3 linked regions of the Lonchura striata genome follow. The protein of the gene in region 3 interacts with the protein of the main gene of each other region in a pairwise test. Links are inferred from orthologs where the notes say so. Each region holds a gene or a part of one and is shown on either strand. Other genes may lie near its edges.

Evidence for each region.
Region 1: the proteins of SPRED1 (region 3) and IL16 interact in binary tests that used the Homo sapiens proteins (3 or more experiments, as listed by UniProt). The link is inferred for Lonchura striata from reciprocal best matches to the Homo sapiens genes SPRED1 and IL16.
Region 2: the proteins of SPRED1 (region 3) and CREB5 interact in binary tests that used the Homo sapiens proteins (3 or more experiments, as listed by UniProt). The link is inferred for Lonchura striata from reciprocal best matches to the Homo sapiens genes SPRED1 and CREB5.

What each region holds. Positions count from the first base shown.
Region 1 is NC_134613.1:15,908,166-15,916,225, reverse strand, and holds the start of IL16 (pro-interleukin-16), read left to right. Parts: upstream 1-4,971; 5' UTR 4,972-5,020; intron 5,021-8,060. UniProt on the Homo sapiens protein: Interleukin-16 stimulates a migratory response in CD4+ lymphocytes, monocytes, and eosinophils. Primes CD4+ T-cells for IL-2 and IL-15 responsiveness. Also induces T-lymphocyte expression of interleukin 2 receptor. Ligand for CD4.
Region 2 is NC_134603.1:122,802,347-122,809,647, forward strand, and holds the start of CREB5 (cyclic AMP-responsive element-binding protein 5), read right to left. Parts: upstream 3,102-7,301; 5' UTR 2,943-3,101; intron 1,999-2,942; 5' UTR 1,915-1,998; coding exon 1,912-1,914; intron 1-1,911. UniProt on the Homo sapiens protein: Binds to the cAMP response element and activates transcription.
Region 3 is NC_134608.1:30,928,054-30,935,976, forward strand, and holds the start of SPRED1 (sprouty-related, EVH1 domain-containing protein 1), read left to right. Parts: upstream 1-4,858; 5' UTR 4,859-5,064; coding exon 5,065-5,093; intron 5,094-7,923. UniProt on the Homo sapiens protein: Tyrosine kinase substrate that inhibits growth-factor-mediated activation of MAP kinase. Negatively regulates hematopoiesis of bone marrow.

The sequences.
Region 1 (8,060 bases), on a different chromosome or scaffold from region 3:
GAATTCATGAAAAATACAGAGAAAATTTTCATATCATTTTTGTAGGTAGAGTCAATTCAGTTTTCTTCTGCTGTTTATGTTTCTTTCCTTATAAATCATAGTTTGGCTATTGATAATTCTCCTTTCATTCAGCCTAAAGGGCCCTTATGTCTCCCTACAGTTTAGGGGAACTATAAATTAAAGGCAATACTAAGTCAGATGAAAAAGGAGCATTATGTGGAAAGAAGGTAAAGTTATAACTTTTTAAAATATTTGTTTAAACTTGAATGACACCATACAGGAGAGCTCACATAATGCTCTTACTGCTCTGGTGCTGCATTAAGTTATAAACTGGTCAATGGTTAAAAAAAAAAAAAGGGATGGACCTTTCTTTCACTACCAGATATTTAGCAACTTCATAGCTGACATAAATATTTAGTGTTTCTCAAAGCCCAGCATAATGTCACATATAGCCTATACACACACTATAAAAATATTAAAATAAAAATACAGCACACAACACTTAGCTGAAAGGGTACCATTCTTGCCTCGTGCACCCCTCCATGGCTATAGCAAACAAACTTTACACTCAGTGCTGTACTTTTTCAATCACACACTCTTAACACAATCACTTATGTAAATCATATGGACTGCTTTGTAAACAAAGCATTGTATGCATAAAGTAACATATCCTTCATGAAGTCCAAGGATATGTTCTCAAAAGGAGGTAAAGATACTTTTTATGGGTGTACACTTAGAATTAGACTCTCTTACATGGAACTATATAAGCAGTATTTTACTGCTCATCTCTAGGGCACTGCAGCAAGAGAGGTTAGTAATCACAGAGTGGGAGTGCAAGTCATGAAACACAAATGTTTCTGGCAAGGCAAGGTCTAGGAACTTTTATTAATTCACAGGAAAGCAATTCACTCGAAAATAGTTTAGGAGGTTGCAGAGCTGGATACCATCATAAAATAGCCAGGTAATAAAGTTCACAAAAGGAAGTGATTTTTTCAAAAAGGATCTGAAGCAAAAGGAGGAATTCCAAACATATGAAAGCAGTGTGAAGCTGAAAGGAGGGGCAGAAGACAAAAAGATAAAAGTATGCAGAAGATAGAGGATGACATCAGTACAGAGATCAATGAGAAAAGTATTCCACAGAGATGTGAAGATCAGAATATTTTTCCTAGCAGAAGAACTGAACAAATCTTAGAGGCAACAAATTTCAAATAATTACAAGGAAGTACATTTATATGTAACACATGAAACTAATTGCCTGTGCATACTCTTGAAATCAAAAGCTTAATGGGAGCCAGAAATGGATAAATTACAGTTCTATTACACAGGATTAATTTCATGTGTAGAAGGTAAAAAATATCTTTGTGTTTCCTGGCATGAGTTAGGTACTAAGTAATGAAAGGAATTAAAAAGAGATTTACCTAATTTAACACTATGCAATACTTATCCAAGATGAGGCAGCTGTAACTTCTGCTAAAACAAGACATATCATATCATCATATCGTATCGTATCGTATCGTATAGTATCATATCGTATCGTATATATCATATCATATCATATCAATCATATCATATCATATCATATCATGATATGTCCAAGCATTTCATATACAAAATCTCATCGCGCCAGTCTACTCTACCAAGGTACTCAGAAACTCTTCCTGAAAGCAAACTCTATCTTGATTTTTTTTTAAGTTAATCCCTTTAAAACAATTGCTGTCAGTTATTGCTGGAGAAGGCTACTGGATTAGCTGGGTTGATATGGTGACTCAGCATGCCATGTAGCTGTGTTTTCATGGATGGAAGGGCAGTGTGAAAGTCATGAAACCCAAGACAGAGATGACTAATCCAGCCTGCCTTAGCAGCAATGAAGGCATGGATTGTCCTGTGCAGCATAACTGTAGTCTGGAACATGGCAAATGTGAAAATTGTGGCTGTGTTTAAGGCAAAAGTAAATTATCAGTTTGTTGAACAATGTAAGGATGGGATAAAAACTTGAACACTCTAAACTATTGGCTTTCTTTCATATTAACACAAACAGTATTTGAGGTTGGGTGGAGATCAGGACTGAGGCTGTTCCATCGTTACTTAGTCTGCTTTGCCCAGTACTAATGTCCTGTTTAAATTTATACATTCCTTTTTGGAAAAGGTTGTCACCAGTAGCAACAGGCAAAATATTTAGTACTGAATAGTCTTCATATTTGTCCTCTAGAATCCAAACCTGTGCATGTGGAAAATAATTGGGAGAAAAGAAGGCTCAGCTCCTGTATCTGCTATAGTTCCAGACACATCTTGATTTTAGTCATGCAAAAGAGAAGAATTGCCATAACTATTAAGTGCAGTGGCTCTTCTCTTTGCTTTACCCACTGCCAATAGATACTAACTCCAGATATCAGAAGAGTTACTCCATTTTATGGTAACTATCCCATGGCTGGACTGTCACTCTATCTGTAAACTGCATTGTTTGACTTTGATTCTAGAGCAGGAGTTGCTGCCCTTTCTACAAGCTATTCCCTTTATCTACAGAAATACATTTTCATCAATTCACCTCCTGAGGTGAAATCTCTGTCTGACTGAAATCAAAGACAAAACATCTAACTTCAAAGTGCTCATGATTTCTGCTCCCTTCTTGTTCCGCACATGCATTATGCCTTAAATTTTAATTATTTCTTTTTATTTGTTTGAACTCTTTATTTTACCACATTATTTTCCTGTCCCTCACATGAGAAGGAAATAAAGAAGCCACACTGATTTGCCTTATATTTCCTATTATCTCATAAACTTTTTTCATTATAGGTTCTTTCTGCATAGGAGAGTTCACATAATTTCAATCTTTGAATACAAATTTTCAGCCTCTGATCAGTGTTCATTTCTCTTTTCCTGCTACAATACCTTTGAGCTAAGTAATGAGGATTGACCACTGTATCCAATATCAAAGCATACCATTAATGCAAGGGGCAGGCACAGTAGAGGTACTCCTTCTCCTTTTCTTCATGGCTTCTAAAAAACTGCTTTTCTGTTCACCACTGGGCACTGAACAACTTCTGTACAGAGAAGATGGAAAAAACTGCAAAAGGTTAGAGTAAAGCTACATGAAAAAACAGCCCCTCCTTGTGATATTTATGTTTCTGCTGCTGGCCCTGGCAGAAGTCCAGACTTGGAATGAACAAAACTCCCAGTGGCTTAGGGACTACATTATTCAGCCCATAGTCAGGAAATGCAAAAGCATGTGACAATGGGAAGAAATAAAGCAAGCTTTCCAATGCTTTTGAGCTTCCAGCTCAATCAGCTTGGATCAGAACTCAGGGACTGTTGAGATTTTTGTGTGAATGAGTTCTCTATTGCTAAACAAAAACATGTGTGTGTTGTAGTGAAAGACAGTAAAGTGGTAAACAGTCTGTGGCTTTGCTTCCTTGTTGATATTTCTTTTTTACAGTACTAGCACTACATATAAAACCCCATTTTATGTACAAGGCCACTGTACTTTCTCTTCAAATACAGTGACAAACTCTTTGCCAAAATTCAAAGTCAGCTCCCTATTTCTCCTCCTTTCCAGGAAAGCTACTTCATAATTGTTGATCACTACTCAGTGCCAAGACTTGGTTCTTCTGAAAGAGTTGGGTAATGCTCCATGTCATTTATTAACCACTGAGTCAGGTAAAACCTCTGTCCTTTAGAGAAGATTTCATCTGGGGAACGAATATCCCAATAACAGATGTTGGGAAAATAATGTCAAATTCTCTCAATAAACTCTGTTTAAAATACAGAATGCCCACAATTGTATTATCATGGACAACATTTTCCAAGCTCTTGGAAACACTGTACAGAGCAGAGATTTCATCTTTCCTTTTTCTCCCAGTATGGAATCATTCTCATTGGACAGATGTTTGTCTTTACAGTCCATGTTTTACCTAGAAGCAATAGGATCACTAAACATGAGCCCCTATCTGTGCAATATTTTAAACCATTTCTATAATTCCTCTCCCTCCTTTACAAGGTTAGCGACAGAGCGATAAAACCAGAACCTTCAAGACAGAACACTGAGGGCAGCAGGTGTGTAAGCACTGTCATATTGACCATTTCCATGACCAGAGAGGAAAATTATTACATTTTCCTTAAAAGCATGAGATTAATAGTTTGCGAGAACACTCTGAAGAGGCCTGACTATTTCAATAAACTAACATTAACTCTTCCAGATACAATGTTTTCTTTTAGGGATTTTTTTTTTTAATTAAAAAACACCCTATGAATCTTATCACATAATTTCATTGAGAGCAAGCAGGTTTCTGCAGCAATTTTGTTACCTGTCTGTCTGAGCACAACTGAGGATCAACAGGTGGGGACTGACATGATCTGTGTGATAAGCAATAGTTTTCTGAGTCCTTGATCTGGTTGGATCACAAAGTTGCAGTCTAGCCCATAGTGGGGAAAGTAAGAACTGGTAAGTTAAGGAGATTGTGCTCGTGGTGAACAATACAGGGGTCTGGCATTCAAAAGTGACACCTCTTATGTTTTGCTCCTGGAACAGAATTTGTCCATGAAACTCTTACTAGCTTAATGTTTTTTTTAATGTTAAAATATCAGCTGAAAAATACAAGCATATTTGCCATCTCAGCCTCCAACAGAAAACCTTCACTGGATTAGCACAGACTCTGCTGTTGCCCCAGCTCCCCTCAGGTGGCTTTAACATGCCTGAACCCCATCAAACCTCAGACCAGAGAGTGATGGGTGAAAACAAATGACACAAACTCCTTAAATGGTTCTGCCATGTCCAGGTAGCTGGGAGCCTGCTGGAAACAGCTTCCCCAATACTACATCCCAATGCTTTTGTTTATCTAGCCCTGCTGACATTTTCTTCAATTAGGAAACAATAGCTCCGTTCCAATGTACTGAGCACAATTACTGAAACTGAGTCACGTGGCACCAGGAGAGTGTGTTTTCAATTATTCACTCTGTCTTTTTTTGCCAGGCCTATGAAGAGGAACAGCCTTCTGCAGGAGTCAGGTTTGTCTGCCTCGCTGCTGTAAGTTCTTCCTTTTAAATTTTTATTTTACCATTAGGGTTTTTAATTATCATTTTTTAATTCTGCTCTCTGAGAGTTTCTTCCTCTTTATTAGAAAACTTCCAAATCTTTAGCTCTACCTACTGTGGGGAAACCCTAGTCAGTGCTAATAGTACTGCGCAGCAATGAATCTGAGTAAGAATACAAGATCTAGATTAAATTAGGATGCAAGATCTAGATTAAAAGAGGATGCTGCTAGCACTTGGTAATGTAAAACTCATCTTGTTCTTGCTAGTAAAGTCCTGTATTTCCTGCTGTCTGGTTAACAGCAGAGCATTCACATTCAATCTGGGAGCTACACCAAATTATTTGTATCTTGTAAATGCTTGGTTTAATATCCAACCAAAAATTTGAACCAAATGCCTACAGCTCAGATCATGTATTTTGTTTGCAGAAGACAGTCTGAGTTTGAACTTTTAAGATTTAAGGCTGGAAAAATAAAGCTTGGGGGAAAAAAAAAAGAAACATAGAAGGAACATTTGGTTTGCATTACAAACCACAGACAGCTTCCATCAGGCAAGCTGGAGGTATCAGAATGGCAAAAGAAAATGACAAGCAGTGAGTGCACTGTAGAAAAAGACGAATGGTTTAGAGAATTGACTTTGAAGTAATTGTCCATGCCATCAATATCTCAAATTAAATTTGGTGGAAGATGGCAATGAATCATAAAGCTTCTCTGGTACTTGTGATATTGTATGCTGTGTAAAATAACAGTTCTGGATATTTTTATTGGAAAATTTATAAACTACATTTTTGATACCTCCTATATTTCTGTCACTTATGCAACCCTGAATCAGCAGCTCTGGAAAGAATGTTGCCTTAGTTAGGACTTGTGATCTAACACGTATAGCAAGAGCAAGTATTTAACTGGAAGTGTTCAAGTCCAGTGGGTTTATTTTCACGTCAGCCCTTGTCTCACTGTGGGATTGGGTAAGTCATTCAGGGTTAAACTTGCTCTTTGAGTGGATGGAGCTCTCATGGGGATGGGGGAGGAGGAAACAGCTGATGGAGCAGGGCAGAGAGTTCTCTCTGCATAAGATAAAATTTCTCAGGAGCATTACAGGGGGATGGGAAAGCAGGATGCACTTAGACCCGTGTTTCCTTCACTGTTTCAACAGGTGCTTCCATCATCCCTGCATCCCAGATGTTTAGCAGAGCCAGAGAGGCACCTCTTGGACATTTAGTACTGATGGCAGTTCTCCCTTAAGCCCACTAGCTTCAGGCAGAGCAAAAAAGGACTTCATTCTAGCATGCCAGTCGCCAGAGAGCTGCATTCTGACCATTAAGCTATCAAGTCCTCTGCTTATCCAAATGCTTAATAGCTCTTTTAAAATAATTCCTCTTTGAGAAAAGTAAGAGTGTGTTTAATTTTTGCACAGAATTGAAATACTTGAATGCAAAGTCTTCTTTCTTTTAATTTCCCCACATGGGCAGTATTATTTAGGTCTGAATGTGCAGCTTGGGTACATCTGTGATGTTGTTGCCAGTGTCTAATAGCAATTGCCAGTATCACAGAAGGGGCACCGATCCCTACACCGGATTTTCAAGTGATGCACATTCCACTCACCTCCAGCTCTGTTGCTTCCTACCCAGGTGCTGAGAGTAGAGACTTGCAGAAATTCCCTTTATCCCAGACATTCTTTCCTTTTCAACTCCACATTCTGGTCTAATGGGCCAGATAGCATTTTTACATTTAGTCATACAAGGAAACACAACATCATAGACGTTAACAAGATTAATTTCCTAATACAGTGGAGATGGGATTTCTGAGTTCAAATATTTAGTTCATGTATATGATGGTAGACTAAGGCTTTAGACTTACCATAACACTAAAAAGTGCATTTTTGATAAGTCACAAACAAGATCTCCAAACCTTACATTCGTGTGCTCTGTGTCACAGGAAGAGAGTGTGGCTGTGCTGCTGGGCAGTTCTCAATCACACCAAACTTCTCATTCATAAGAGCGGCTACTCTGAAAATAAGAAAAAAAGTAGAATGTTCTGTGAATTGAAGGGGATGGGGAATATGCAAGTCCAGTTTGACCCTGCAAGCTTCCCTCATGCCAGTGCCAGGGAGGCTGGGAGACCAATGACTTCCATTCCCCTGTTCCAATCCAGCGGGGTCAGACTCCCACTGGAGCAGAGAGGATCCCCACGACACACAGAAAGCACACCAGCTTTGGGGAACTTGACATATCCTGGCTAGTTTCAAACTTCCACCTGAAATAGTGTCTTGCTTGGAAATCCCTGGAGTTCCAATAATCAGGACATGAGTTTTTGAAGCGTTAGGGATTTTGTTTTGGAAAAAGAGACATAAGGGAGTAGAGCAATAATAGGAGTGATGTGATAGAAAATAAGTAATGATGGAAAGATGTAAAAGCATTACCTATCAAAAACACCAGAAAAGACTGCACAAATAAACATCCTTCTCCCTGGGACATCTCTTCTGCACCTGAAAATTGTTTTAATTTTAGAAATTCAAGCAAATTCAGATTCATGCTGAACTGTGGATTACTCCAGCAGTGTCATAGTTCCTTTAAGCAGGTGTTCAGTGTCATAGAGTTTATCATCTGCTTTTTTTTTTCCTGTTTAATTAAATAAGAAAAAAATACCAAGAAAAACAATCCTGCAGCTTTATTACAATGTTGACTTGTATTTATTATCCAAATCTGGTTTGGTCTGAATTTGGAGGCCTGTGTTTCTTGTTGTGGCTGTAAGGAGCCTTATAAAATCTGCCTTCTTTATTTCTGATTTACCAGCAGAACTTCAGCTACAAAGTGCATACATATCTACCTAATTCTGCACAGAAACAGGGAAAAAAACACCAAACCAAACACAACACTCCAGTTTAGAACACGATGGACAAATTTTTCTCTCAATAGGATACCTCAAAAGTGCTTTTTAAATTACATTGATTTTCAGGTTTTTTGTGTAACACCTATGGCATCTTTGATTTATGCAAATACATATGTTTCAATTGCTATTTTCTCTTGAATGACAACA
Region 2 (7,301 bases), on a different chromosome or scaffold from region 3:
TAACAATAGGAGACTACAGCCATTTCTTTTTCATGCCATAAGTTCATTATTTCTATTTCCTGTTTCACTCAAGTGTTTCTTTTAAAGTTTTGAATCTTCGATGAACTCTACAGTTGAAACCAAACATAAATCCCATGCAAGCTAATGGGACAAATGAAACTCCCAAATTTATCGACAGCAGTAGATACCACTTCTTCCCAAGCCATATATAATTAGGAGTAATGAAAAAACACTGGTTAGTTATTATAAAAACAGGCTCCTTACCATAATCTGTAAAGCACAGTCAGGTCTAAGTTGCTTTGTTCAACCACCACACCAACTGTTCCTTCTTTTTAGTGACTTATTTAAAAAAAAAGAAAAAGACTCACTTTGCCAGTTATAGCTGGGGGAAAAACTCCCAAGAGCTTTCAGGCTTCATTAATTAGGGCCATCAGAACTGTACTTCATTTAAGCAGTACAAAACAGTGCAATCAAGAGTTACGTCCCGGGCCGTAGCTATCTGCCCCTCTCTCATTCTCTTCTTTCTCTCACCATCTCTCTCAGTAAATGAGACTAATTTTTCCAGCAGCCTTTAACTCCCCAGATTAACTGAAGTGGAAAATGTGACTACAAACTCATAGCACTGTCTAGCCTCCAACCCAGCACAGAATCAACTTCGTTGTGCTGAAGGACACCTAGCAAGCTGCTGCTTGCTAAGTTCATAACCCAGAAGTGTACATTCGCACACAACAGGACTGCGCCATCTAGTTAGCTGCCAGCAGCAGGCTTTGGGAGCAGATGCCTCGGGATGCAGGGCTTTAGCCTTGGGAATGTTCAATTTCTTACAGATTCAATTGTGGTGTGGGGTTGTTTTAATAAAATATCACTACTGAGATAATCCACATCTAGTGGATATGGGAAAATTTAGGCTATAATAGCGCAGCAAACTTTTACATCTATCTTTGATTTACAAGATAAAAGCAACTTTTAAATTAAAGAGCCTTTCTGCTAACAGAGCTTATTATGCCAGAGACAGGAATGATTTTCCTAGAAAGTTGTCCCTGTGTGCACGCCTATTATCTTTGCTTTCCCCCTTCCACTAATGAGCATTTATCTAAAGAGCCTGTTAATCCTCTGATGTGTGCTTCTGGTCAGAGGTAACAGTTTGAATAAAACCACTAATCACTTATCACTAATCACTGATCATTAATCACACTTTTCCCTAGTGCTCTGCGACCTGTACAGCTCCCTTTAGGATTAAGGAGTCACAAATAAGGAGTTTAGCCATTTTTTATTAAGAATTTCCAGCTTTTGATACCGACAACCTCATTCGCCACATGAAAGTTACAAAACACTGAGCGGGGACTTTCACCACTGTACACTTTTATACTGAAAATAAATAGTACCTTTAGGGAAGCATACCTCCTTCAGCAAAATTCCCACAAATTACCCTACGCTTTTGCATTCGGCTCTCACTTTCTACCTCTCAATTTTCTTTCAGACAAGTTTCCGGATTATCCCTGCATATATCTTACAAGAAAGTTTTCCTACATCACTGCTCCTTGACTCACTGCTGCTTGTCCAAATGGCCAGACAAGGAAAGTCTGGTGCACACCAGCGGGTGAATCTTTCTCTAAAAAACTGCAGTCTCAAGAAAAGCCCAAGATGCTTCACAGTAATTATTATCCTTCTGTTCAAGTTTAAATTTCATCTAGCTAAGCACTGTTTCTTACTGATAATATACGGAAATCTTCTAATCTTTCTGTTTAGGTCACTTCTCATATCAATCTGGATTTAGAAAAAGTAAAAAAGAAAAACTAAGCAACATATGGACATTTCATTTTCCTTTATTTCTACCCCCATCTCTGAAACTACCTCTCTCTTTCCAATTATAAAGCTTACATTGAGCCCTGGAGATGAAGGATCACTCACCATGCTCGGACATAAATAATAGAGGAGGCAGAGTTTAGCAAGTATTCCCCTTACACTCCTGCAGCTCTTATCGTCCTGAAAACTTCGCTGGGGAGAGAGAGACCCCTGTAAGAGAGGACAGTAGCGGGGGGACGCGGAGCTGGGGGCGGGGGTAATGATGAGCGGAGTAGAGAGGCTGTAAAGGGAGAGGAGGGCTGCAGAGAAGAGACCTTGTCAACACTCGCCCCCTCCCCGCACCCGAGGGCATCCGAAGCGGAGCATCAGCCCCGCACCGGCCCGCAGCATGACGTAAGGGCCGGCAGCAGCCCGACACCCGGGGTATCTCACGGGGAAAGCGGCCGCGCAGCACCCCGCGCACCGCTCCGCGGCCACCGCCTGCTGCTCCCGGCTCGCAGGGAAGCACGGCCGCCGCCGCGAAACTTATGCAGAAGTTTTGGGAGCGGCGGGGAGAGAGGACGGCGGGGCAGCGCGCCGCCGAGCTGTCACCGCCGGGTGCCGCCGGGTTACGCTGAGGCTGGAGCCGTCCAGCCCGCCGTGAGCGCGGGGACTCCGCGGTCGCTCCGCCGGGAGCTGCCCACCCGCTCGCTCCGCTCGGGGCAGCACCAGCGGGGTGCTGCTTGCGCTCCGTCTCATCCCATCCCATCCCATCCCGTCCCGTCCCGGGAAGCAGCGCGCAGACTTCCCAAACTCCCTGAAGTGCGGACGGGGAGTCCAGCTTCCCCGCGTCCCGGCGACCGTGCGCTGCCGCCCCCGCCGCCCTGCCCTGCCCTGCGCTACCCTCCGCGGGACTCGGGGTCGCTCACGCCCCTCTCCCCGAGCACGGCGGGGACGCGGGAGCGGCGGGACTCCGCGCCCGCCACGGAGACCGGCGCTGCCGCCTCCGGAGCAGATGCGGTGGCGGAGGGAAGAGCCCCTGCAGCCGCAGGCTGCCCCTTCCCAGCCGCGCACCCGGCGCTGCTGCGCTGGGCTCCGTGCGGGGCGCGCCGCGCCGGGCGCCTTCCCGGGGCAGCCCCGTATTTTTAGGAACTTACCGCCCGGCGCGGCGGGGACGGGACCGGCAGCGCGGCCGGAGGAACCACGTTGGACTGAGGGACGGTTACAATACGTTCTATTTAGAGAAGCATTACATCACCCTCCGTGACGTCACGTGGGATTCCTGAACTTCTAAATCATTGCGGTCCGTGCCGGGCGGGGGGGCGGCCGGCAGCGCGGGGCGGGGGCGCGGCCTCGGGCGGGCCCGCCCCGCGGGGCCGGGGCGGAGCGGGGCTGGCTCAGCCGGGAAGGGCGGCCCGCCCCCCGCGTCCCGGGCGGCCGCGGGCTCCGGCACCGGCGCCCGGGCGGGACGGGGCGCAGCCGGGCCGGGCGGGGGCTGCCGGGGGACAGCGGTGCCTGTGCGTGCCGAGCTCCGGCAGGCGCGGAGCCTCTGCTGAGTGACAGCCGCAGGGGGACTCGGGTCCTGCAGCCCCGAACTCTTTCGAGAATTTTTGTTTGCTTGAGTTTCTTTATCTAGAAAGTGTTTAAGGAGTGACGCGGTGCCCGAGAAGGGAGGGAAGCTCCGTCTCGAGCTGCAGCCGTGCCAGGCTGCGCCGCTCTTCACCTGCTCAGGTGCGCCCGGTGTCCGCCTGGCAGGGTTTGATGCCGCGGCGGAGCCCCAGTGGCGCTGGAGCAGCGCAGTCACAAAGAATCTTAACTGATAGAATCGAGTGTCTCACTGCTTTTTGAACATTTAAACATTCTGCATCTATTTGGCAGTGTCTCTGAGTCGTCGTCTGGGACGCTTGCGGATGACAAAGTTACTGTTCTACCCTGTATCTACTTCAGCGCCTCCTTTTCTGTTTTTTTTTTACTCTCAACCTAATGCTCCTCAGCAGTTCCTCTAGCACCTGGGTCTGGAGGTTCCTTTGGCACCTTACTCCACACTGCAGTTATCCAGGAGGGATTTGTATCAAAGATACACGATTGAACTGGATTTAGCAGCTGATTCATGCCAGGAGGTATGACTTAATTCTAACGCAGTGTTTTAGCACCTAAGCCTGGATTGTCTCATGAGGAAATCTCAGTGTTTTGAGGGTCTCAGAATCTGCAATGGCTTGGTCAGTTTGGTTTTTCTCCGATATTCCATTAAGAGAGGAGTAATACAACACGTACTGCCAAAATTGGGAATACTTTACAAATGGCAATAATACAGCACTTTACTCCTAATAATACCATTCTTTCACAGGTTTCTATTAGGCTGTCTGATTATCATCTTCAGCTTTTAACAATTCACTGGCACTTTATGCAGGATTTAAGCAGATAGAAGCAAATCCTATCAGTGACTGATGATAGGTTTTGAACTCATTTAACTCCTTAGGATAAAGCTCAATGATGCTGTCACTGTAAGCCTTTGTTTTGTCAGGTATTATCTTTGGAAACTGCATATCAAGTGCAAAGTGCCTTACCTCTAAACGTCCTGGAATTATAAACTACACAGATGACTAAATTAATAATTGCAGTTATTTCTGTCTCACAGGAAGGGTTTTAGCACACACAAACACAGCAGTTTTTAAGGCCATGACAAAAAGATTTAAGTGCAGGAAACAGCTCTGCATCTCTCATTGAAGTTTCATCGTACAATTTATGTACTCACACTTTCACAGACATGCAGCTGGCACTGTGGCTGATCGATGGGTTTTCCTGGGATTGCAGTGAGACTTTTCTCCAGTTTTCTCAATGAGACCAAACTGTAAATGACAATGGAGAATTCAGGTGCCAGTTGAGGACAATAGGGCCCAAATACGCCAGCAACCTCTGTAGTAAGACTCAGTTATGGGAAAAAAAAGATCCTAAAAGCAAGATGAACAGTACCTCCACTTTTTTCAGATCAATTGTTTTACTTGCCACATACATATTTGGACAGATCTCTACCACTTAAACAGACAGGCAGCTTGTGGCAGCCGTCTGTGAGTGTCTGCCTCACACAGAGTGGTGACAAATACTTTGACAGGTGTTTACCTTGGTTTTCACTGACAGCAGAGCCGGAGAGGTTTTGGGTTCCTGATATGAGTCTCAGGGCCCGAGGAAAGACTCCTGAAATGAGTTGGAGTCCTGGGGGGCAGAATGACATAATAATGTCAACGGTTCCTCTGAGGTTGAAATCTGCTGCAATATGTGTCACATATTATTGCTTTCCCCCTTGCCCGACTTCTATTTCAGTTGCCACCCTCAGATTCTTTTGCTCTCCTCCCTCTTCCAGCTCTTTACTTATCTATTTCCATTTTTCTTTTGCCTGTTACCAACCTTCTCTCTGTTCTATGGCGACCACTCTGATCTCTGAATGGGGATGTGAAAAGGAGCATTGAGATGCAGCTTTGTTTTGTTCTATGCTCACTTTAATCCCCGTTGGTTGAACGGTTCACAGAGAAGAAAATGTGTTGATGCCTTCAGCCTGAGAACACTGAGCAGAGAAGGGACATTGAGAAAATGTAATTGCCAAGTTCTTTCTTGATTTAAACCGTGGGATGTTGATACTAAAAGAGACACTCCTCTGCCTCCAAAGTTGCCACTTTCATGTTGAGCTGATGTCTGCTTGTGTGCTGTCACTGTGAAGAACAGCTCTTTAATATGAACTCCTCTAAAGGTGGTTTGAATTAGCATATTCCACTCAGCAAATGAGGAATGTACGCAGAGTCAGTTACAGCTCAGCTGACAAGCCGTAATTTGAGAACAGGCTTAATGCAGGGGACAAATTTGACCAAATCTTAGAGGCTAATCAAAGGCACCTCCTGGAACAGCGAAATTATCATTCTGCAGAACTTCAGGTTCCTGCTCAAAAACCACTATATATTAAAAAAAAAAAAAAAAAAAAAAACAACACAAAAACAAACAAACAAAACCCCCCCCCCAAAAAAAACCAAAACACCACCAAACAAGAAACACCAGCTTGTGAAATACAGGTTAATGTTCCTACTTCCTTTTTATGGAATATTGTTCAGGAGTGATTGAATTTTGGAAGCAGCTTTCCAAAATACTCCTGCCTAGGGCAGGAAAACTCCATACTGAATAGTTCAAAACTTGGCAATATTTTTAAGAGATTGAAGAAACTTGTAATGAAAAGTACTGAGCAATCAACTCCATGAGGCACTACCTGTTTTTTCATAAACTAATTTAAAGGTACAAAGTCACACACTGCTTTTCTGGTTTTATACTCAGGCTTTAATAAACCTGCTTTCTTCTTGTGGCAAAATCCCAACTTACATGCTTTTCTGTATTGTATATTCTAACAAATGTTTAATATAAAGGTTTTTGTCAGTTTTAGACTCTAAGTATAAAACCTGAAAATGACACATTCTTTACAACAATTTACATAGTTTAATGGGTATTAAAACTACTCAGACATTTGAACTTAAATGCGTTAGAATGACATTTTGTTTGACTGATAGTAAATGACAGTAGTGCTGTTTCAGCAAACACCTAAAATCTTTGTCATATCATTAAAATCATTGGGAAGTAAAGATATTAAAATAATTATAGGAGTTTTGTATGTCAAATATCAGTCTCAGTAAATCCCTATTGCTGTCAAATAAAATGAGTATTTACTGCTGGTAGAGTTGAATATTTTACATACCCATTCTTCCTATAACATCATTAACCACATGTTTAACTAAGCTGCTGCCAGTGTTGAGAGCTACTCTCAGCTCTGGCACTTGCAATTATCTTGTTACAAGTACTTTGCAGCAATATCTTTTAGTCTAATCGAACAGTAATTTATTCACCTCCTTATGTGCTAATAGAACTTCAGAGCTCTCCATTTATCATGTGAAACTATCCACAAAAAAATGTAGTTCAGCACTAGTTACACAGAAGTGAAGCCTAAGAAATAAAATGGTAAGAGGAAAAATTGATTTCTAGATATCAACATATACTTTAATCCATGGTGATAGTAAAATGCATTTTAAAAGGAGGTACAAATTATGCTATTTAATATATGATAATCCTAGTGATATCCTGAACAAGTGTAATTCTGGTGTTTTTATGAAATGCTAGATTTCTTAATTATTACATCTTTGTTCAGACCTCACATCTCCTTATTTTAGTAACAGACTGGATGGGCTATCAGTGAAGGGAACCAAGTATTCTCTATGGTTTCAGGAGCTGACTCGGAAGTACCAGATTAATCTCAAAGCTGAGACAGAAACTGGTGAATAAGTAGAGTTAACCAGAAGTTAAGTAGTATCACACATTTTTTTAAAAAGAAAAGTTCTATTAGCTGAAATGTAAATGGTAAACACTGTTCCTGTTCATCTGTATCATTTCTCAAGTGGACTGGAGAGGAAAGGAAGTGTGATACATCTCGGGGATGTGAAACAGTCCTGTGGGATGCCAAGAAAGTCACATCTGCATTTCTGTGC
Region 3 (7,923 bases):
TTTTTTGTAAATGTATCATTAGCATCTGTATACAAACATAAGATCATGGTGTTTTGTGGAGGCAGAGTTCCAAACTTTCATATTTAGGACTTAGAGCCATGAATTGGTCACTTAAATTCTGCAGTGACTGACTAATCTGGATTGCATTACTTAACCTCCACTGATCCTATTATGGATTTTAAGATGTGAATGCCATGCAGATCAGAATTATGCAACCTAACCTCTATAATCCATCTATATATAATTCTTCTGCCACACACTCAGAGTCCTGCTACACTCCATGGCCATTCCTGACAACCTCTTTCATCAGAGGTGTCACAGACACAATGTGGAACTGTTTCAAGGAATGGCAAATAAGAAGACTGGGCCAAATGTATATGTTTTGTACATGTTTTGCCCATAATGGTATTTGGTGAGTGATGTCTCTGCTGGACCTTATCTCAATCCACAAACCTTTAGTTGTGTTTTCTCTCCCCAGTCCATTTGCAAAGGGGAGTGACAGGGATGCTCTGGTGGGTACCTGATGTCCAGCCAGGGTCAGTCCACTACACTTACACAGATTTCTTCTTGTATATTACATGGCTTCCTAATAATATAATTACCTTCATTTTGCTTTAGCAGTAATGGTTGCCTCCCCAGTTCTCATTTCAAAAGTCCCACAGCTATCAAAATATTGCAGCAGAGCAATGACATTGACATATAAATTAGTTTTTGTAAAGTGCAACTTGAGGTATTTGATATAGCAAAACATCAAATGCAATGTAAAAAATAATGATTTTTAACCTCATTTGCCCTTTTCCATACTGAGCATATCTTGTCTCTAGCTAAGGAGTCATCTCTGTACCCACACCAGAAAGTGAGTGCATTTCAGCACCTCTAGTGATTCGAGTAATAGAAGCTTTCATTTTTAGAGGTAACTTTTCCAAGTCATAGAGAAGGTGGCCAAATTTCAACTCAGAACACATATATGGTGCAGATTCTAACAACAGCAGAGGCACAGAATTTACAAAGACAAGGCCCTAAAACATGTGCTGGTTGGAACAAAAAGTAGTAAGTTGTCTGAGGTGTCTGAATGGTGACATATATACCTAACTTGCCTCTGCTTTGTTTGCACAGGCAGGACTCACACATACTACAGAAATAAACTATTTGCATTGAAAACACCCGTTCGCTTAATTCTCCTCAAAAGAATCAAACGTGGAAAGCCCTGAAACCAGCTGCTGCTCAGCAAAATAATACCAGTACTCCAGGACTGTGTTCTTCCAGCTTTCTAGCCTGGACAGAGGAACACAAACAGGATTTCAGAACTGAGACACAAATCAGGGCAGATTTTCTGTCCTCTTTAGGATATTCAGGTAAAAGGAAGGAAACTGTCTGCAAGACCTCTGCTTCACACACTGCTGCATGAGACTGCTTGCAGAAGTTGAAGGACCTACCACAGGTGAAGAAGCAGCAGGTCCTTCTCCCCTTACTACCTCCACACAGAAAAATAAAAGCCCAGGATGAGTCTCACATTTTTCAGTTGACAACTGAATACACATTTTATTCTTAACAAAGAAGCTAATGAAAACTTTAAGGAGACTGAAATGATTTGAAAATTATTTGTGTTATATTAAAAAAAAGTTCATTTTATTGAATTGTCACTATGAAAATAATTTTTTAATTAAATATATTTAAGGAATCAGCATAAAAAACACACACCTAGATTAATGATCTTGTCACCATTATTTCTCATTCTTCAGATGCAGTGAACAGAGCTATACCACCAGACAAACTGAACTATTCTTGAGCATTCTTGTACAGAATCATGTATATTGACTTAATCAAAACAACAATTTACAGAATGTTAAATATTTTTACTTTAAAGCCAACAGAAAATGGGAAATAAATTTGCAGGAAGTCACATTATCTTGCCAGTCACAAGACAGGAAGTTGTCTGAGAGGATTCTTACTGCTAAGTAGAATATTATATTATGCCCACAGCTGTTTTAGATACTTTTCATGTGAATTGTAAAATTATATAAAAGTGGGTTTGTAATGTTTAGTATCTGGACGAGGTTGTGCCATGAATAACCGTTCCATTTTTGAATGTACTCTTCCGAAAAAAAAAAATTACAAAGCAACTGGAAATTTTCCCCTCAAAGCCTTCTACACAAAGAAGCAAACTTTAATGCTGCAGGTTTGAGATACGCTGCTTGAAACATATTAATGACTTTATCAGATAAAGCATGATAACAGTTTACTGTAATAGTACCATTAAGTTTATGGCAGAACCCCTTTTAAAGAACCATGGAACTTCAATCCCTAGGAATATTGCAACATAAACTATCTAGAAATGAAACATGCCTTTCCTTGCCTTCTAGGTAAAATAAAAATAGATTTTGTTTACAATGCTCTAAGCAACCACCCCACAAAATAAAAATCTAACTAAAACTGCATATACTTAGCGAAAAGAAACTATTTCCTTAACAAATATGCTACATAAGTGCAATATTGCCATGCTTCTGGGCATTCAAACAAATGATGCAAGTTTATAATCTGGCCTTCAGTGATGTGAGGCACTCCAGATTCCCTTTAAATAGTGAAAATTCCTTCTCCTGATTTCCCATGTTCCTGTCTCTCCCTCTTGGGAAAAAGCCAATCAACAGTAGTGTGGGAATCAGACACGTTATTACTGCCAGCGTAGCTTGCCCCATCTTTTTCAAACAGAAAAAGAGAGTAGGTCATTGGCACTCCTATAGTACCACCAGAGTAGGGAAAAAAAAAAATCTCACAGTTACAGGAAAAAATGAAATGGGATCACAATTGACAGAGAAGGTTCTTAGAGAGCAGCTGTGAAAAAGTGAGGAAGAACACAGGAAGCCTGAGGTAATGGAATGTGCATTGGGAAAGTGACGTCTTCCAGCAGCAGCACCACTATGTTTTGGGTTCTCCACGAAGTTTGGACAACGAAATATATCAGTTGGCAAGCATGCATACAAAGACTAAGAAGGAAGAAATAAAAATCCAACCGACAGACAAAACCACAGTATAATCTTTTATTATAACTTAATTTACTTGATGGTCTGACTCATGATTTTTGAGTCCTCCGGGTTTGCAGCTATGCTCCACTTTTTCACCAGATCAAGCAGCACATTTACCGTGTAACTTCCTGAAAAGGGATTTGGTTGCTGCTGCTTCTTGATTTCACTGCTTTACCTAAATCAACTACACATGCTTCTACTTCAGCGTGCATTTAGAAAAAGGGACAACTCAAGCACAAACCCTCTCGTGCCGTCACTCCCTTAGAACCGCATTTCGGAAATAATTACGAGGGCCCCGCTTTCCCCGGTCTCCGGAGCGCAGAGTCCCACAGGGCAGCGCTCGGAGCAGCGCAGCCCGGGCTGCCGGCCGCCCTGCTCGGCCCGCCGCGTCCCAGCGGGGCCCGGGGGCTGCGGGCGGCCGCTCCGGGAGGAGCCGCCCGGAGCAGGTATCGGGCCGGGCACCGCTTCCCCAAGCCCCCGCGTCCCCAGAGACGGCCGCACTTTCGCGGCTACATTCACTCCGGCTTCAAAAAGTAGCTGAAAAGTGGGAGCCCAGCCCGCAGGCGGAGACTCCGGCGCTCAGCCGCGCCTGCCCCAAGCCCCCCAGCCGCTGCAGGCGCCTGAGCCGGGCCCTTTGCCACCGGCGGCCACCGCTCCCGGGACCCCTTCGCGGCCCGCGGGGGGCTGCGCGGAGCCGCTCCGAGCGGGGGCCGCCGGCGCGCCGGGCCCCGGCAGCGGCGGCCCCGCGCCCTCGGAGCAGGAAGGAGCGCGGCAGCGGGCAGCCCGCGTATCCCTCCGCGGCGCCGTGCGTGCGTGTGCGGCGGCGGCTCCCCGGGAAGCGCGTGAGGCAGCGCCAGGGGAGGGAACTACTTTCAGGAAACTCGAGCGCCGGGCAGCGCCAGGCGCCGCGGGGAGGGCGGCGGCGCGAGCCCGTCCGGCGGCGGGCGCGGGTCAAGGGGATTACTTTCCTCCCTTCGCTCTTCCCTCCTCTCCCGCCTCCCTTTCCCCCGTGGTTATTTTGGATCAAGCTGTGGCGGCGGAAGGAGCCTGAAGTCAACGCTTCCGCCCAGTTTTCCTGTGAGGAGGAGGCGGGGGCGGCCGCGAGGAGCCGAGGCGGCGGCAGCGGCCGCTAATGGAGTTGTTGCCGGGGAGGAAGCGCCTCCGCTGAACTTCCCCGCGGGCTTTCTCCCTCCTCTCCCCCTCATCCTGCAGCCGAGGGCTCCTCTCTGGCCCCGGGAGCTCGGCTCCCCCTCCCTGCTCGCGCCTCTCCTCACACAAACAGCCGTGACGCATCCTCGCTCTCCGCCGTCCCCCCCCTTCCCACCCCCAGGCTGGTTTAAAACGCCTCCCTCCCCCCGTCGCCAGCCTTCTCCTTCGGGCCGGCGCGTCCTCCCTCCGCAGTGCTTGGCGTCGCTTTGGAGGGGGTGGGAGATCCTCGCCGAGCCTCTCTGCCCCCCTTTCCCCTTCCCTCCCCGCCTGCCCCGGCCTGTGGTGGCTCCGGTGTCTGGAGGAATTTCTGCCGCCGCCTGCCCCGGCTGTGCGCGGGAGGCGGGTGGGCAGGGAGGGAGGGAGGCGGCCGAGCAGCAGCAGAAGGAGGAGGAGGAGGAGGAGGGCAGCAACGAAGGCGGCTGCAGCGGGAGATGAGCTGCAGCGGGAGGACGGTGCGGTGCAGCTTTTTGCGGCGGGGAGCCTTCCCTTGTCTCCACAACTCTATCCCCCTCTAACTGGGAGCAGCTCAATATCAGAAGATCCGTGGGTTTTGCTTCTATTTGCTTCACCATCGCCACCATCATCATCGTCGTCTCCAACGATAGGGGAAGTAAGGCTGCACCGCCGGACATCAGGATTTCGGGTTTCCAGGATAAAGACCGCTCTCCTGTTCCTTCCCCCCGCCTCCCCTCCCTTACTCACCGCACGGCCCGTGCCCTGGCCGGGGGCGGCAGACAGGGGGTAACAATGGTGAAGTTTCTGGTGAGTTCTGGCTGCGCCCTGGCTGCGTCGGTGCTGCTCCGTGTGCCTGTCGGATCGTGGTGAGGAGAAAATGAGCGAAGAGACGGCGACTTCTAACGAGTAAGTGGCGGTGCTCCCCCTCCCCTGCGCCCCGGGATCGGAATGGGGATGGGGCTCGACGCGTCCCTTCGGCTCCGCGCCCCGCGGGGCCTTTGCCCGCGCACGTACGTGTGCTGTCCTCCCCCTGCGCGGACTGCGCATTTCTGCTCGCGTACATGGAAGCCCAGAAGCTCCCTCTTTGTGAAGGAGCTTAGTTATGGAAGGGCTACTAGCCGCTGGCCAGAAAAGCCTGATTTAGTTAAAGCCCGGTAGAAAACGGTGCAGGTAACGATGGTGCCTTGGAGGGGCAGGATAGGTCTGAAATGCCCAGAGAGGTGTCGGCACTTACTACCTCTGATAAAATCCTATTACTTGTAGATATTTCACATGGAAACTAGTGTGTGGGAGCTTCATCCTGCAGGAAACTGCTCCTGAATTTTAATTGGATGAGTCAGTCAGTGTAAATACAGTTTAAACCTACCCTAAAGCTCTTTTTTCCCTTTCTTTTTTCTCTTTTTTTTTTTTTTTTTTTTTTTCTTTTAATGAGCTCTTGGGACTTTCCCCCCTTCCCTTCCCCCTCCCCACCCCCCAGAGAGGAAAGGGATCTCTTAATATTTTTGCTCTGACTGGTTTGGATGAAATCCAGAGGAGATTGTGTGTGTGTGCGGCTGTATTCTCCTGCATGTAATTGGTCTTTGAAATACATTCGGGTCGGAGACGGTAAATGTTTGTCAGAAAATATCCGAGTTCTTTATGGCTTTGAAATAGGAATATAAAGTATTTTGAAACTTTTCTTGTGGTCGGGAAGTTTAAAGTCGATTGCTGCGGTCTCCGAGCCGTAGCGTTACGATTTGCGATGTCGATGTTTGCTCGGTCTTATTTTATGAATGATGCGGTGACGGCCGCGGCCATGGCGGTGGGGAGGGAGCGCTGCGCCCATTGTATCTGTAGGTAGCGGTGAGCGGCCGGGAGCAGCCGAGCTGACAGGCAGAGTGCCGACGGGGCTCCTCCGGCAGGAAAGATGGATTTCCCATTTCACTGCCTACTTCTGAGCAAAGCCTGCGCACCTTCCCGTGCGCTCCGCAAGCGCGGCGTTCGGGTCCCCGGGGAGCGGCGCGGGCCGGCCCCGCGGGGAGCGGAGCCCGGCGGGGCGCGGGGCGCGGGCGCTGCCGCCCGCGGCGCTGAGCGGGCCGGGGCGAGCCGGGCCGGGGGAGCCGCCGCGGCGCCCGCGGGGCCGGCAGCCGGGGCCGCCGCCGCCATGTTTCCTTTTTTTGTGAATCGCTCTCATTTGCATACCACAATCTCCATTCATAAAAAAAAAAAAAAAAAAAAAAAAAAAAAAAAAAAAAAATTGCGAAAAAAGAATTGCTGTCACCGCCGCTGACCTGCGGCGGAACCTGCCCTGCGGAGCGCACGAAGCGGCTGCTCCCGGGCTGAGGGCCGGCCTGCGGCCCGCGGCCGGCGGCGGAAGGTCTCCAGAAGCTGCTGTATTAATATGTACTGTTCGCTGCTTGTTGACACAGTTATGTGGGAAATATCAGCTCGGGGAGGTGCTGGGAACACGTGATCAGCTCCATTCATAAAATACCTGGCTGTCCATTCACAGTGCAGTACAGTGTCTGCATTCAGCAGCCTCGAAGATCAGACCTGCATGGGAAGGGAGAGGCAGCCAGGCCGGCAGGTTTATCGAAGAGGGCAGCAGAAAGAGGGCTTATGGCTGCGAGCATGGGAAGTCACTGTAAAGGGGGATGTGGAGGGACGAGACAGGCTTATTTTTATGGTTTATGTTTATCCTTTTCCTATAAAGGAGCATGAATTCAGAAGTACCTTCTCGCTGTACCATCTTACATTTAAACCAGGAAGAGTTTTATTCAGAAAATGTTGAAATATTGTCCCCTTCATGAATACTGTGTCAAAAATAGAATACTGACAATCAAATTCATTATTATGAATGTATTTTCAAGACAGAGAATTAATCCATTTGGAGTAATTTACATTTTATTGAACAATACAGCCTTACATCTGCAAAACATCATGGTGCAGAAGGAAGTCAGTCATACCTAATTAGGCATCTGAAAATGTTGCCTATTATACAGGTGACAGTGAAGACAACTAAATTGATAGAAATCAACATTGCTATTCATTTTTCTGTCTGTTTACTAAGAGAATTTTACAGCAGATTAGCAATCGTACTTTCTCCTTAACCTATGCCATGGCTAAAGAAACCTCTGAAATATCAGAATACTATGAATGTTTTTAATATGGTATAAATTACTTAGAGGGCACTGTATTATCTTTGATTTTAAATTTATTGAAAATTAAAAATCCCACAGTGGAATTTACTGATGAAGGATCCGCAGAGTAGACAGTGTATTTTTTTTATGCAGCTGTTTTGTGGTTGCCAGTGTTAAAATGGTGATGTTCATTGCTCATGAGTATGCTTTTTTATTATCTTAACAAATTACACAGAGGTGATCCTTAATTATACATCCATGGAGTAGAGGAGGCTTGTTGTTAGTACAGCCTAAGAGATATTACAAATCTTTATTTAATAAAAAAAGGAAAGTTCATATACAGTATTTGCTTTGCGTTTATTCAGTGGTGCTATAGAATGAAATGTGTTCTTATATAAATACCCTTACAAAGCACTATAAACTATGCTTTTTCTTAAAGAATTAATGGTTTTTTTGGTTTTTTTTTTTTTACCTCCTGTATTTAAATATCAGAAATAAAATAAGAAAAATGCTTCTCGGTTGCTTTGCTTTTTTTGACAGCATGTTTGGTGTGGCCAGAGTTATAATTTCTCTCTGGCTGCTTTTGCACATAGCACAAGCGTGTCACTTCAAATGGC